Tamandua tetradactyla: one gene and its partner. The protein of the gene in region 1 purifies or fractionates together with the protein of each later gene. This does not show direct contact. Links are inferred from orthologs where the notes say so. Each region holds a gene or a part of one and is shown on either strand. Other genes may lie near its edges.

Region 1 (8,236 bases):
ATTGGCTTTCACAGAAATACTCGAAAGGAAATCAGAGACTAATATCAACAAATGCATCTCAGGGTGTACTGCTTTCAGAAAAATGTAACAAGAAGCAGTATTAAGATATATTTAGAATCATGACATACAAATTCTTTAAAAACCCCAAATCAAATGCAGTTGAAGTCTTAGTTAAAAAGAGAAAAAACTCTGATTTCCATTAAGAAGAACACAATACAAACTAAGACAAAATATGTTGATTTTTAAAATCAATTTTTAATTGTGCCTTAGCTGGGAAAGTCAAACAGGCCAAAAATCCCATGTAAAGGTTACTTATTGTTCATGAATTCTAACACATTCATATAGACAAGACTTTACTGGAGATATACTTTCTAAATTGTGGAATTCAATCTGAAAGAAGAAAAGACAGAGCAGGTACGAAGTTGAAAGACAGCTAATTAATGAGATCTTACAAGTCAAAGCCCTTTCTTTTTACTTACAGATTCATAACAGATAATGGATCAGTTTCATCTCCATCTGGGAATAAGACTTAACAATGTCAAGTAACTCCATATCGATTTGCTATGTGAGATTTTTACCATAACATCTACTTTTAATTACTCACACTAATGAAGAGGTCATTAATGTAAAAACTGTTTATCGAATATAATACTTGTCAACTCTTTTTGAGAGTCGATTAACCTAATAATGATGTGCTAGTTTATGTTACTAAGTTAAAATTAAGCACAGAAGAACTATACTGGAAAATATGAGACTGGTTACAGATCTTACACAACAGAGACTATTAATATTAAGACTATTAATATTAAACACTATCAATATTCAAGGGCACCTTAATTTGTACTTTGAAAAATATATAATAAGTTTAATTTAAAAAGCATTCTAACCTAGCATCAAAGACAAAAACCCAACATTGGTCAATGAAATGTCATTTGGGCACAATAAACTTCAAAGTTTTATTGTTATCTAAATTCTTAGTGAAATTTTGTTGTAATACTTTTTTTTGCTTAAATAAGTGGGCCATAAGTTGGGGTTTTGTTATGCCTTGACTTTCACCATAATTTAATTTTATATGAATCATAACTATTTGTCTTAGAATAAACATTTTATTACAGTTTTTCTCCAGCCTAAATTCACATATACGATGCCTTTATTTTCCCCAAATTGTATTTAACATTTATGAGAATTTCCACATAAGAGAAAACTAATGCTAAAATGTTCAATGGCTTTTTTATGTTTAGCATATCTTTCAGCATTTCAAAATAGCATGCCATTAAGTAGGTATACCATTTTGTATGCGGGACTCTTGGATTAATAAACAGTACACCCATCCTATCCAAATCTCTTAAATAAAAAAATAAAGAGCCCAGGTACATTTACAGAGCATTCAAGGGTGCACACTTTGTAACTGGTGCTATGGGAAACAAAAAACATGAGTCTTGTCCTTTCCTGTGCACAATTCTGACAAATTATCTAATGAGTTACTTCTAATTTCTACAGGACCTAAAATCATGTATTTATTGAAAAGCCTGGTGAATTGTCAAGAAAGTTATGCAGCTTTCGGAAAAATTTATTCCATCTAACTAGAATATGCTTTTGTATTTAACACTTTTTAAAAATAAATACACAAATTACACATCGACAAATTCAACTATAATCAGATACCACAGTGAAACATCAGATAAAGAAGGTAGGATGCTCTGTGCAGACTTCAATGTAAGAACATGAGGTTTATATGCCAACGTAAAATCTTTCTGGCCTTTTACAAAGGTCCGCTGGCTATTCTTTAACAAAAACAGCTGAAACCGAAAACTATTTTTCAAAAATTATCTCTAAGAAGAAGTAAGACCTACTACATATATGCAACCAAAAGTACAGGAAACATAGTTGTTTAGATTCTGAAGCAAATGCCCTAAACCCTACACGTTTTATTACAAGGAATTAATAAAGCCGATAGTATATGAGAAAACATGGATATACAGTAAGGCGGACAACACATGGGGACATCTCTCTGTCGAAGAGTCGTGACAGCAAAATCACTTCCTGAGGAAGGAGGAGCAAAAGGGAAGTTAAGAGGCCACCCTGACCAGGAAGTGACTTGCCCTAAATTAGCCACAATCATATCTAATAATGGGGGGATGGGGAGAACCCTACTAGCCGAAGACAGTATAACAACCGCTTCTTGATTTGTCGCGACATCACCAATGCCTTTCCCATAATCACAAAAACGTGTCTACAGTCATGATTCAATAAGAGTGTCTACCCTCGCAGGGAGGCTACTGGGCTGTGCCTCAGGCCCAGGAGGGAAAGGAGAGCGTTGAGGAATGGGGAAATAGAGCCACCGTGAGGCAGAGGAAGACCCCTTGAGAAGGAAGCGTCCCAACTGCGTGGAGTTTATACCAGCACGGGCCAATAAACTTATATTACCTGAGGACACTTCCAGGGTTCCCAGCGCAGCCGGGTCGGGCCCCTGTTCCCTGAGAGAAAAAGAGACAGAAAGAGAGGCGGACCCCTTACCTTCTCCTCGTCCGACACCCGATCCTCGAAGTCGGCCATCTTGGGCTCCTCTGGCCCAACCCGTCCACCCGCGCGAGGCAGGCCGGGAAAAAAACCGAGCGATGGAATTACCGCGGGGGCCCAGCGAAGGACCCGCCCGGAAACGCCGACGGAGGGAGCGCCATGTTAGTTACGGGCGGAGGTGGTGGTTCCGAGCGCCAGTAGTACAGGAAGTCGTTTTTAAGTGAAATATTTTTCTGAGTTACATCCATTTTCTCATTCATTTCTTCGACGCTGGGGACGTGTTTGAACTGCTCTTGGGTTACGAGCTTTAAAGTCCATCCGACTAAATAGCAGTTATACTCCTGTAAAATTTCCCGGCACCAATGATCTCCGTTGCAGCCGAGTCCAAAGCGCTAAACGCTGCTCGGATCCTGGAATGATCGATGGCTTTTCCAACCCCAGGAATGGGGTGAAAGATCACCCTCACCTCTTATGTAGGCAAAAACACCACTCCGGGGTCACATCTCTGTCCAGTGATGTGGACAGAACAGGTGTCGCTATCCATCCCTTCCCCAACCCCCGAAGGAATTTGTAGCTTCAGTCTTAGGACATTCCTCCACCTTTCAAATCCGTCTCCGTTCTCTAGGACTCGACCTTCAAATAGGCCAGCTTCAGGTCCTCCACTATCCCAGGATTCCCGGCTCCTGGTTTCCTCCCCTTCTCCCCCGCCCCCCCAGCTCCCGGCGCCTGCGGAAACGGCAAGATGGCGGACGGTGACGGCTTGGGCCAAGTCGCTACTGCTGCAGCATCTCCTTCTGCATCTGCTCCGGGCCTGAGCTCGTCGCTGGGCTGGAAGGAGCGGCTGCGGGCCGGGCTGGCGGGAACTGGGGCCTCGCTGTGGTTCGTGGTGGGGTTGGGGCTTCTTTACGCTCTGAGGGTCCCGCTGAGGCTGTGTGAGAACTTGGCAGCGGGTGAGAGGCCCAGACCTCCCCAGGGACGGGCAGGGATTCAGAATAGGTGCCGGGGCGAGGGCCAAAGGGCAGAGATTCTCTGTAGTCACTGGAGGGCTTTGAAGAATGAGTGGATAATGCGTGGCTAGTGCATTCTTTTTCTCTTGAGCCGCAACCCCTCGCTGTGAAACCTAAGCTGAGCTCCTGGCTCCTCCCTAGAGCTCTTAGGATCCTCCCTCTCTCTTCCTTCCTGGTTTACCCGAGGAAAACCACCTGACATGCTGCAGGTGGTAATACAGAAGTGAGCCCTCTCAGACTGGATTACAGAATTCATATCCCACCGTTGATAGGATCCCCTCAAAATCATTCCATTGAGTCTCCTGTAACCCAGCTGAAAGCCCACATCCAAAAAACAGATGAACAGAGATCTCAAAGAACTCACATTCAGACAACAAAAACAAACAAAAAAAAGGCCATGGCCTTTTCATTGAACCATTCTCATGTTTTAGAATAGACCTGCCAAGAAATAGTTTTCGTGATATTTTTGTTGTAGGCTTTATCTTAAATAATGAAGCAATATGCAGAAAGTAAGTCATAAACAGCAGTTCATTAGTTCATGCAACGTTTGTAGAGGGCTTGTTAATGTAGTTTCGACCGAATATGGAAGACCCATAAGAAGTGATAATATCTGTGGATACTGTAGATAGTGTCCTTTAGCAGTACCACGGATAAAGTGGTTGGGGCCTTGGGCCTCTCACCGTATCATTGCAATTTTCCACTCGAGCTCTGAGAGCACCCCAGAACAATATGCAAATATTTCTGTTACGTGATATCTTTGCTTATCAATGCAGTAGTTTGTTTTTCTGTAATAAGAGAAGGCAGTTATCCCCTCTTCTATAAGATGACATGAAAGACTGAGATAATGTTATGAAATATTTTGTACTTTTTAGAAGGGAATTATGTAAATTCCGATGTAACTAACACACTAAAACCAGTTAAATAAACTGGCCTTCCTAGATTATTTGAAAGAGCTAATTGGTTGTTCTTTGTAGCAGGTGAATGAAATCCTTAATTCTGGTTGGTATCCTCTGAATGTTAATTATTGAGTTAATTCTTTTTCTTCATGTTAACTAGATATACCATAGAGATGAGAATATTTCATTATGATAGATTTTTATTTCTTCGTAAAGTCCGGTGTCCAAAAAAAATAATTTATGAGACAATTATTTGACATGAAGAATCTGGTTCTGGATTTCACAATGAGTCAGGGACAGAGAGCTCTCAGTTTATTGCTTTTCTCTTTGCGCTCTTTTGTCTCTCTGACATGCCAGGTATATACGCTATTTCCTACCCTCACTGTGCCAGAATTCTATCATTCTAATTTGAGACACTGTTTTGTGTCTCACCAAAATAAGTAGTTTTAAACCTCCTTTGTGAAAGGATGTTTGTTTAGCTTCTTGCCCTTATAGAGTAACAGAAGTTCCTGTCCATAATATGACCGATAAATTCTTAGTTTTATTCTCAGGAGCAAGCTCAAGAATCTCATTTTGATGGGCTGCTTATTTAACAAGTCAATAGTGTAAAATGTTACCCTTTATGGGTGCGAATTCATTTTTAAGATATACAGTGATGGGAATTTAAATGATCTTTTTTAAAAAATTACAACTTTCTCAAATGAATCTCATGCTAGATATTAATATTACTTCTGTCCCCCTAGCCATAAACTCACCTGCATATTTTTAATTTAAATACTTTGAATTTGCATTTTTTAAACTTTGGTTTCTTTTTTCTTTTGACAGTGACAGTATTTTTAAATTCACTGACACCCAAATTCTATGTGGCACTTACAGGGACGTCATCTTTAATATCAGGACTAATATTTGTAAGTAATTTCCATTTCCTTCATTCACATTTTGGTATTTATCCAAAGACTAAATCCCTTTGTATAGTTATGATAATTATAAATGCTTATAGCTCAGCATTTCCAAAATGTATTCAGCCTTTGGAAGAAAGTGCTACCTATTCAAATAAATTTGGGGAAAACTGCATCTTCCTCAGCACTCTTAGAAACTGTCAGTATTCATTTCTATATTAAAGGCTTTATTACATGCAGTACTGCAGGGGTGGCAGACAAAATGTCTGCAGAACCCTAGCTTGGTAACAAAAATAGGCAAGGTATAAGAATTATTCCTTATTTAATTTGAGGACTTAATAATCTGGCGAATGCATGCCCCTTCTAAAATAGGAATAAAAACTAATTGTTTCCATGTAGATTTGCATTCCACTATCCCCAGATCGTCCAGTTTTTCAAATGATTTTTTAAAAAATCTGGATATACGATTTTTATATAGAATCTCCCAGTATTTTAATGTTGACAACACTGAGCAGACTAAAAATTTACCTGCTCCTGAATTCAGCCTTTAGGCTGCCAGTTATGGTCTCTGGAGTATTTAAGACTAGGTTTTGAAGCCAGGCTGCCCATCACTTACTTGGTATGTATGTGACTTTGAGCAAGTTAATTAACTTTTTAAGCCTTAATTTGCTCATCTGTAATCATGGTTTCCATTTCATAGGCTGATGAGGACTAAATATGGTAATATGTGTAAAAGCTTGTAACATGACTGGCTCGGACTGAGCACTTAATGAATTTTGGCCATTATTTTTCTGAGAAGTTCACAATAAAGGAGCCAATTAAACCTTTCTTTTTTTTTTTTTTTTTTTACTTTTTATTTACTTTTCACATAGCTGTGCATTAATCATCACAATAGACTTTTTTCTTTTTTGTGAAAAATAACATACATACAAAAAAGCAATACATTTCAAAGCACATTGCAACAGTTAATTATAGAACAGATTTCAGAGTTTGGTATGGGTTATAATTCCACAAGTTTAGATTTGGAGACTAAAAGAAATATCAATATAATGATTCAGCAATCATACTCATTTGTTACCCTACCTTCTCTGTATAACTCCACCATCACCTTTGATCTTTCTCTCACTCTTGAGGGATGTTTGGGCTATGCCCATTCTAACTTTTTAATGTTGAAAGGATTGTCGAAAATATGGGATAAGGGAATGGACCTAGTTGATGCTCTGAAGAGGCTGGCCCCTCTGCATTTCAGGACTTATCAGTTCCAGGGATCCATCTGGAGGTTGTAGGTTTCTGGAAAGTTAGCCTTGTACATGGAGACTTTGAAGAATCTTACATAACATCTAGGTGTTCCGTAAGATTGGCAGGAATGATTTTGGTTGGGGTTTGGCAAGTTATGATAGGTAGCAGTGTCTAACTGAAGGTTGCATTAAGAGTACTCTCCAGTGTAGCCTCTCTATTTGAGCTCTCTCAGCCACTGATACCTTATTTGTTACACTTTTTTCCCATTTTGGTCAGGATAGCATTGTGGATCCCACGGTGCCAGGGTCAGGCTCATCCCTGGGAGTAATCACCCACGCTGCCAGGGAGACTTTCACCCCTGTGTATCATGTCCCTCATAGTGAGGAGAGCAGTGATGCCACTTGCAGCTGGGAAGCCAGTTTAACTGTAATTCAGTTTTTCCTTGTCCTATTTGACCAAGAGCTCATTTTTAATTAAATTTTAAAATTTTATTTTATAATTCCTATTAGCATCCCTAGTGTAAACTTTGGAAAAATACTGCTACAGATAAAAATCTTAAGCAGTTTTATGCTGCTTGGCCAATGAATTTTTCTGTCCTTTTTTCTCATCTCTAGGTGGTGCTCTTCAGCTGTAATAGAAATGATCGTATTTGTATTGCTGCTTTATATAGATATATTTAGTGATTAACTCTGCCCATTTTGTTTAAGTGAAAAGCTGGACAAAAAAGGGATTTTACTCTTGGCTTAAAAAAAAGACACTGTTCAGGAATTCCGGATAAAACTATTTGTTAATATAAGCCTTAATTTATTGATTTATAAAACCCAGTCATAATTAAGTATATTTTGCCAATAGCATATAAAAGTCTAAATGAAGAAAATAACTATCTTTAAATAGCTAATATAGTGCGAAAAGCTTTGGTCTTGGAACCGGAAGGGTTGGTGACCCTGCCTCTTAGTGTGATAACTTTGAATAAGTCACTTAAACTCTCTGAGTCCTAATTTCCCCTAAAACCATTTTAAAATTTTGTTTTTACTATTTTTAAAACAGATTTTAAGTGTACAAAAGTTAGGAAATTCAAATAACATCTTAAGGGTTAAACTGGTTCATTGCCTTTGAAATACCGATGGGTTTTTATTAATAAAGGTTATTGGGTTTGTAATTTATTTTGCCACCTAGGCTTATCAAACCTGTAAACACACATACACTGAAGTATGTTTCTGGGGCAGGTGGAGGCAGTTGGTTGATACAGTGGTTAGAAGTTCTGAAGTCAGACAAACCTGAATAAGAATCCCTGCTCTGCCACTTAAACCAGAGTTATTTAAACTTGGTGTGTATTTCCTCATCTGAAAAATGTGTTGTTAGGAGGCTTAAATGACATGATGCAAGTAAAGGACCTATCTCATAGAAAGCTTTTGATAGACATTAGCAATTATTATCATTGCTCCTTTATGTTAAAAAGATGAGATAATTCAGTAGCCTTTAACATCATATTCATTCCTAAAAAACCACCTGCATTTCATATAGCAAAGGGCAATTTGTTATTGTCACTTTGTGATTACTGTCCCTAATTTGATCCAATGTACTTCTGCCTCTTCTGTCACAAACATTTTCTGCTTGTGTAATTTACTTGTTTCATCTTAGCAAAACATGGTAGAAGCCAAACTAGGGCCACATT
Region 2 (8,088 bases), on another chromosome or scaffold:
TTCTTTTTTCCCCAGAATTCCAGAGCTGCACAGGTTTCTTTCAGGACTATTGTCTGACTCTTCTTTGCTGCTGTTACTTTTGGGGGTCCCTGACCTCCCCAAAAAATAGGGTTGGATAATGTGGTCAAGAGTCCAGAACCTATTGTCTCCTCTGGCCCATGGGTACCAGGATATCATTTAGTTCACCCCTGCTCTGGGGTGAACTGTCTGGTAACGTGGTGTGTCTCTCCCCGCAGGGAGGAGTATGGGAAGCTGTTTGATTTTGTCAACGCAAAGAAGCTCAACATCAAAAACCGGGGATTAAAAGAGGTACGTCTCTGTGTGTGGAAAGGATGAGCCTCTTCCCCTGTCCTCTCTATATGGGAAAGAAAGGGACAGGGGTTTTTCTGGCTTCTTTTTTACTCTTTCTTTTCTTCTTGCCTTTATAGAAAAAAGAGGTGCGTGTGACCCCTTCCCCTTCCTGGTGCAGGTTTCCTTAGCATGGTCTTAGATCAGTTTTTGTAGCCCATCAGGAGCTCCTGGTGGGGCTGGGAGAGGGAGGAGCTTGGACTAACCCAGCTGGCAGGAAGTGCTGGGGCGCAGGCCCTGCATGTTGGCTGTGTGTGGATAATCCAGCCCCAGGGTTTTTTGGGAGCTGCTTTTCTGATCTTACTCACAGGCACGGGGGCGTGTTGTCGAGGGTGCAGCGGTTCTGGGCAGAGGGCGAATTGGACCCTCACGCCCAGCTCTTCCTGGTTAGGGCATGAACCCCAGCTACGATGAATATGCCGACTCGGACGAAGACCAGCACGATGCCTACCTGGAGCGAATGAAGGAGGAGGGCAAGATCCGGGAAGAGAATGCCAATGATAGCAGTGACGACTCAGGAGAAGAAACTGGTGGGCAGTGTGGAGGGCAGGGGGCAGTCAGACTGCTCTCCCTGAGCCAGACCTGGGCTCACCCTGGGCCAGAGCTGGGAGTCTGGGTGAGGGGGCGGGGTTTCCACCAGGACAGAGCTGATGCAGCCCTTACTCTCTTTCAGATGAGTCATTCAACCCAGGTGAAGAGGAAGAAGACGTGGCAGAGGAGTAGGTTTTGGTTGCGCCTTGTGGGGGTGAGATGGTGGCCTGTAAGCTTAAGAGTCGAGAAGATTTGTGGGCATTTCTCTTGTCCCAGCATTAGCCACTGACCCAGGGCAGAAAAGGAGTGTCCAGCAAGGTCACTTGAGAGGTGCTTCAAAAATAGTCAGGGCCCTTGTACGTGCAAGGCGCATTTTGAAGCTAGCACAGCACAGTGGGGAGAGATTGGAATGGGAGTCAACTGGGTGGCTTTGGGTAAATCATGAAGGCTCAGCTTCATCATCTGTAAAATGACAGTAAGTCCCTCCATGCTTTTTTTTGCCAAGACTCTTGATTGTTAGTGTCAGAAATACAACTCGAACTTGCTTAAGTGTAAGAGAGAATTTTATAAGTTCACGTAACTAGAGAGTGCAGGGATATAACTTGTATCAGGCACTACTGGACCTGGCCTTCAAAAGTTGTGGGGAATCTGTTTGTATTTCTTGCTTTTTGGCTTCCTTATTTCTAGGCAGCTTGCCTCATGCAGTCGCAAGTGGACTCCAGCAGCTGTGGGCAGGCTTAGTCTTACTGGTTTAGCATCCAGTGTGCCCCTTCTCTCAGAGCAATGGTAGTGAGCAGTGTGGTCACATACCCTTTCCTGAGCCTGAGATAACAGGGTGTGCAGGGCCTTTAGAGCCTGCAGTTGGGGTGAGCCCCTTCTGAGTATGGGAGAGGCAGTTTCAACAGAAAATTGAGACTGTATTAATCCACAAGTATTGGGAATGAATATTTGGGCTGCAGAAATACTGATGTCTCCTAGCACTGCTTGCCCCATCCTTAGGAAGGTGAGTGAGCAGAAGCTTATGAAAGTTCCTTGAGGACTTTGCAGCACCCACAGGTGTAAGCATCATCTTTTGAGGAGTTCTGTCTGTATTTGGGCAGGTGTTAACTACGTGGGTGGAACTGAGGCTGGCCTTTCCCACTTCTGGTAGCAACAGAGTTCAGCCTTCATCAGCAAAGGCTAGAGGGTAGATGAAGATGATTAACCACAAGGAAGTGCTGACGTGCTGGACGAGTATGAGGCGACGTTTCTGTCTGGGAGTGTGGGATGGAGAAGGGACCGGGTTAGGCGATGACTAAGGAAAGCAGCTAGAGCCCATTGGCTTGTTTGGTTTTTAACATATTGAGCGAATAACCAGTTACCATGGCTAGGACTGGGGAGAAGATGGCTGAAGCCCCCTCAGCAAAGGGGAGGAGGCAGGGCTGGCGATCGGTGGTAGAGGCTGCCCTGCGGTCTTTCTCCCTCTCTTCTAGGCAGGGGTCTTTGGATTTGTGTTCCTCCTGTCCTGAGGCTGCAGGGTGCTGCCTTCCCTTCCTGAATCTGAGTCCCGCTCTTTTTGGCAGATTCGACAGCAACGCCTCTGCCAGCTCCTCCAGTAACGAGGGCGACAGTGACCGGGAGGAGAAGAAGCGGAAACAGCTCAAGAAGGCCAAAATGGCCAGGGATCGCAAGAGTCGCAAGAAGCCTGTGGAGGTGCAGACTTGGCTCTAGACGGGAGGGTGTGAGGGGAGCCATTCTCCACTTCCCATCTGCCGCCAACAGAACTTGCCGATCGGCCATCCTGGGGCTGCTTTTGTGTAGCCAGTGATTAGGGCATTGAGGGTTATCTTCTTGGAAGTTTTTCTCTCTGGTCCTTGCCCTTGAGGTAAAGTTTAGCTCCTGGGCCATGTGAATCAGGGGTCAGGCCCAGAGAAAAGGGGGCCCCTACGGAGCTAGGCACTGGAATGCTGAGGGGAGAAGCCGTGCTGTTGCCCACCCTCGGGAAGCTCTTTGTGGCCTGCTATTCTTTGGTCCCCCTTTTTTTTTTTTTTAAACCCAAGTAGGTAATCTAAGTAATAGCTGTGGGAGAATGGGGGGGGCGGGGAGTGTCTGGGAAGTGGATGTCTGGAGGCATTTGGATCCTCCCTCGTGTAGGCGAAAAAAGGCAAAGACCCCAATGCGCCCAAGAGGCCCATGTCCGCCTACATGCTGTGGCTCAACGCCAGCCGGGAGAAGATCAAGTCAGACCACCCCGGCATCAGCATCACCGATCTTTCCAAGAAGGCGGGCGAGATCTGGAAGGGAATGTCCAAGGAGAAGAAAGAGGTAGCAGAGACAGGGGAGGGTTTACAGGGCTGGCGAGAAGGGCTTTATTGGGGTGGGGTGGGGTGAGGGTCTTGTAATTGGGACAGGGGGCACACTTGGGCCATTGGTGGAAAATTTCTGTAGAGGATGTTTTGCCTCCATGGGGGAAGAGGTCTCATTCTCTGTTCTACCCTCTCACATGTGTGTGTGTGTGTGAGTGACAGGAGTGGGATCGCAAGGCTGAGGATGCCAGGAGGGAATATGAAAAAGCCATGAAAGACTATGAAGGGGGCCGGGGCGAGTCTTCTAAGAGGTGAGTCTCTGGAACAAAATGGCATCTGTTTTTTTTTTTGGCAGAGATTTCTGCAGGTCAGAGTTGAAAGTGGAGATGTTACAGATATTTGACTGGCAGTACTTCTCAAAGCTGGGGGTGGGCAGCTTCCCAAGCAAGGTTAATGTGCTCTCGGGGGTTGCTGAAGCCACCGGATAAACATGGACTATTTCCCTGGATGGTCGATTTTATTTGAAGGTGTAAAGGAACATTTTTGTTTGTTTGTTTTAATTATAATGGAACATAATGCAAAATGTGCATGTATTTGTTCAAGATGATAAGTTTTGCAGGTGGAACTGCTTCAAGCTGTGACCCATTTCTTCTGGTGTATTCATTTAGGATTCTCTCCCTGGGACACTTTGGACTAACATGGCTGACAGTTTATGTCGTGTGAATTGGGCAACATTGCCTGGATTGGGAAAGGGCCCTCTTAAGACCAGGAGAGGTTTGGCCTAGGCGATGATGGGAAGGAGCCTGAAGGCCGACCCCTTTTTTCCCCTCTTGCTAATACAGGGACAAGTCAAAAAAGAAGAAGAAAGTAAAGGTAAAGATGGAAAAAAAATCCATGCCCTCTAGGAGCTCATCGTCTAAGTCTTCATCCAAGCAGCTAAGTGAAAGCTTTAAGAGTAAAGAGTTTGTGTCAAGTGACGAAAGCTCTTCAGGAGAGAACAAAAGCAAAAAGAAGAGGAGGCGGAGTGAGGTGTGTGGGAGTGTGTGGTGAGCGGCATCCGGGGGGATGTTCCTGGGCCAGGTGTTGTGGTTGGTCTGTAAGCGTAAAGGAGGTTGAGTGAATGAGTGGAATTCTGAGGTTCTGAAGGCGGATGGAAGGTGGATTGGGGGCCCTTCGCTACTGAGAAGTGGCTGGGAGGGCAGCCAGGACTCAGTACCCTTCCCCCTAAGAGGCCTTTGATTTTCAGGATTCTGAAGAAGAGGAACTAGCCAGTACTCCCCCCAGCTCAGAAGACTCGGTGTCAGGATCCGATGACTAAAGAGGAGGAACATTCTCTTTCTCTGCTTGTCCTGTCGCACCACCAGTCTCCCATCCCTGCTTTAGTACCAGTTTTCTCCTGACAGGAAATGTAGTCCTTGGAGTTCTGTGCCATCTGCACAAGCTCTCCTGGTTGGACGCACTTCACTGGGGCAGCAGGGGAGGCGTCTTACTCTGCTCCCTCATAAGGTTGGCTCTTTATAATTTGGGAAGACACTGGGTGGGAGGCAGGGCAATGTGGGGTCCAGCTCCTCAGCCTTAGGGATACTCGCTGCTGCTTATCCTGTTCAAGTTGCTGCAGCAGGGGTCGCGTGAGGTTAGGCCTGTAGCTCCTAACTGGGGCATATTTCTACATTTATTTTGTATTTCTGGTCTGTGAAAAAAAAACATTTAATAAAGGGAACTGACTTTGGAAACCATGTTTTTATGCTTTCTCTCTGGCCCTGTTGCATTGGCCCTACTACTGTTGGTGTTGTCTCCTGCAGTGCCCTGATTGGGCAGGCCTGCTGGCCAGCTGGGAAGCAGGTCTCCAGGTACATCCTGTCCTGTTCCCGACTGGCCAAGCATTGGTTTTCAACCTCTTCTGCCAGAATGGGCCACCTGAGAGTATAGAAATGAGAGCTGATGTGATTAGGAAGTCTTGCTCACAGTTCCACTCCATTAGCCAGGCTGATGGGAGGCAGTTCCTGGCTCCATCCTTCATCACCTATGAGTCAAGGGTCTTCCAAGATTTTAGGTAATTCAATCAGGATTGATCAGCCTCCCTACAAGGGTAGGGGTGAGGGGGAGTGGAAATCTGAGCCTGGAGAGTTGGGGGAGGAGGAGTGATGGGTGTTGGGGGGCGGTGTGCGCGCCTCATGGGGGTGCAGGGAAGGTGTGAAATGTGTGAAGCTTTTGTTCTTACTGGAGGAAGGAGGAATCCTAAATTTGGGGGTTGGAAAGTACCTGTATCTAGGAAGAGAGCCTAACAGGAAATAAATAAGGAGGATTCGTGGGAAAACAGCTGCTAAAGTCCTTACGGTGGGTATAAATGTGAATTTACGCACGTGGGGCGGCCACGTTGCTTCTAGTCCCGGGAGGACGCAACAGGAAACCTCGCTAGTCCTCCAGCGGGTACCGTCTTCGTAGCCGTGACTCTATGGCACTGCAATGTGCACAGGCGGCTTGGGGCTGAGTCCTGGGCTGTCCTAAGGCAGTCTCCTGTCCTCTCTAGGCAGCCGTCTCGGTGGCCATTTTGCCCAAAGCTCTTAGCTACCGAATTGCGTCAGTTTCGCCGGGGCTTGGACCCGGGGCGGTCCCTTCATTCGCAGGGTTCATGAATAATTGAGCACGGGGCTGCCTCTGTCTGCATCCGGCCGTGCGAGCGCGGCACCGGCTTCCCACTCGCGGCTCTGCTTTGGCTCATGAATATTCAGGAGGCGCTCCGGGGGCGTGGGCCTGGGCGGGGCCGGGGGCGGGGCCCCGCCGCGGCTCGCACTAGCTCGGTCCCTCGGTGACCGCGGTAGCAGCGGCGGCGCCGGCGGGGCTTGGCGTCGGGGCGCCGAGCCGAGCGGAGCCAGATCCCTGGGGAGCGCGTGAGTGACCGGGGACGGGCGGGAGCGCGAGGGAGGGGCGGGGTCCGGGGCAGGGGCGGGGGAGGGGCATGGAGGGGGTGGGTGCCTGCCCGCCCGAGCCCCGGCTGGAGCGGAGGGGGCTTCGCCGGGAAAGTTTGCCGGGGCCTGGGGCGCGGGGGTCGCAGGGCGCCCGGGGGGAGATGAGTCGCGTGTGTATGGGGGCGGCGGGCGCACGGGCTGGAGCTCGTGCTGGCGGAGCCAGAGGGGAGGGGGAGGGGGAGGGGGCGAAGGCTTGGGGCGGGGCCGGGGGCGGGCGTTGCTGCCGGGGCGACCCCCCCCCATCTCCCCTTCACCCGGGGCCCACACTGCCCCTGCTCCTTCGGCACGCCCCCAGCCGCCCAGCCCGCCCCCCACCCGGGCTGCGTCCCCAGACCGTCGTCTGCTCGCCGGCTGCTTGGTATCCCGCGCACAGGTCCTCCGCCTCTGTCGCCCCCTCCTCTTTCTCCGCCCGCTCCTCCTCCTCCTCCTCCTGCGCTTCGGCTGCCGCCGCCCCCTCTGTGTCCAGAGCTTCCCACTGGGCCCCTCCAGACGGCCCCTCGCCCCGGGCTGTTCCGTCTTGCCGTTGGTCCTCCCTCCTCCAGCAGTGTACGCGCTGTCCCTGGCGACCTCTCTGGCCCGGCATCTGGCCGGAGATCCCAGGGTCCGTAGGGGCGCACCCCCCACCCTTCCCCCACGCACCGAGACCCCTCGGGGCTCCCGCCCGGGGCTGGAGCTGCCCAGTGCCCCCCACCCCCACCCTCAGGCCTTCTGGCGGCCTTCACTCCCAAGGGTGGGCTCGTCTTCCCCGGACTCGGGAGGTTGGGGAGTGCTCACCGCCGCTGTGATTCTGCAGCTTCTGACTAGGGCCTTGACCACCTGGGGTCCCCTGGCCGGGGTCTCGGAGCCGCTGTGGGCCGACCCCCATCTGGGCCAGCCCCTCACATCCTGGAGGAGCTTATCAGGCCCCCAGCTGAAAGTATCTGTCGTTTCGGGGCCAGTTCATCCCCATTGGTAATCTCCCACACCATGTCCCTTGTAATAACGTTCAAGGACAAGGAAACAGTCTTGTGTTTTTAAATTTTATTTTTTCTGCCACGAGCCCTTCCTCCACGCGCACTTGGTTGCCGCCCTGCACGGCCATTCTCCCAGCCCCCCACGGGTTGGCCTGGGTGCTCCTTGGCAGACTGACCCTGCTGGCAGTCTTGGGTTCCCCTCTACCCTTCTCACACCCTCTCCCATCTCTGAAGCAAACTGGGGCACCGCCAAGGTGGGTGGGGTGGGCTTGGCAAAGGTTGGGCAACAGAGGTGGCTTCTTAGAGTTTGGGGGTATCTTCCCAGACGCGCTGGAATGGGGATGTCTTTCAGGGAGGACATGCTTCCTGCTGGGTTGTCCTCACAGGTTGCACGTCCCAGGTGATAGAAACCCTTCCCCTTCCTTTTGAATAGAGGGCCAAGGCTCTGAGTACCAGGGTGGAGTGCTGGGGTGGGGGGGGGGGGCTCTTGTGGGTGGGATGGGAACTGAGGAGGTGGTGGAGTATCTGGAGGACAGGTAACATGGCCCAGGCGGGCGTGTGGGAATGAAGAAATGGTCTGGGAATGCTGGCAGCTTGGGGTCTGGGGAGATGAGGTGGTTCCCGGGGATTTTGAAGCTTCTTGGTGACATTGCAAACGGAATAAGAACAAAATGGCCAACATTGACTGGGCCTCCTTCCTGTGCACTTGGGTTGTGCTAAGCGGTTTTGCATGTCTTATCTCACTTAAGCCTCCAGGCAGCCTTACTAGCCCCCATGTTCAGATAGGGAAACTGAGGTTTAGAAAAGAAAGCCACCTACCCAGGGTCTTGCAGCTAGAAAGTGGTGGAACCAGGCCTGGTTTGAACCCTGGTCTGTTAGATCCCTCAGCTCCCGTTACAGGTTTGGAGAAGGGCTACCCAAATGACCCCTACCCCAGAGCTGCTGTCTCCCCCCGACCCCCACCCTAAGACCCCTTCATGCCAACACTGGGTTGGTGAGAGG

What was found.
Region 2: the proteins of CAPZA1 (region 1) and TNKS1BP1 purify together in Homo sapiens (affinity purification with mass spectrometry; 3 studies listed by BioGRID and IntAct, with this or other methods). This does not show direct contact. The link is inferred for Tamandua tetradactyla from reciprocal best matches to the Homo sapiens genes CAPZA1 and TNKS1BP1.

Annotation. Positions count from the first base shown.
Region 1 is NC_135337.1:9,448,098-9,456,333, forward strand, and holds the start of CAPZA1 (F-actin-capping protein subunit alpha-1), read right to left. Parts: upstream 3,238-8,236; 5' UTR 3,051-3,237; coding exon of another isoform or gene 2,936-3,050; 5' UTR 2,758-2,935; coding exon of another isoform or gene 2,757-2,757; 5' UTR 2,741-2,756; coding exon of another isoform or gene 2,740-2,740; 5' UTR 2,557-2,739; coding exon 2,518-2,556; exon of another isoform or gene 2,446-2,517; intron 1-2,445. Other genes in the region: ST7L (suppressor of tumorigenicity 7 protein-like), read left to right, coding at 3,263-3,470, 5,249-5,331. UniProt on the Homo sapiens protein: F-actin-capping proteins bind in a Ca(2+)-independent manner to the fast growing ends of actin filaments (barbed end) thereby blocking the exchange of subunits at these ends.
Region 2 is NC_135335.1:20,263,232-20,271,319, forward strand, and holds the start of TNKS1BP1 (182 kDa tankyrase-1-binding protein), read left to right. Parts: upstream 1-5,047; 5' UTR 5,048-5,217; intron 5,218-5,943; exon of another isoform or gene 5,944-6,055; intron 6,056-6,434; exon of another isoform or gene 6,435-6,506; intron 6,507-6,907; exon of another isoform or gene 6,908-7,119; intron 7,120-8,088. Other genes in the region: FACT complex subunit SSRP1, read left to right, coding at 237-309, 740-878, 1,022-1,067, 2,442-2,571, 3,013-3,183, 3,387-3,475, 4,007-4,193, 4,411-4,482.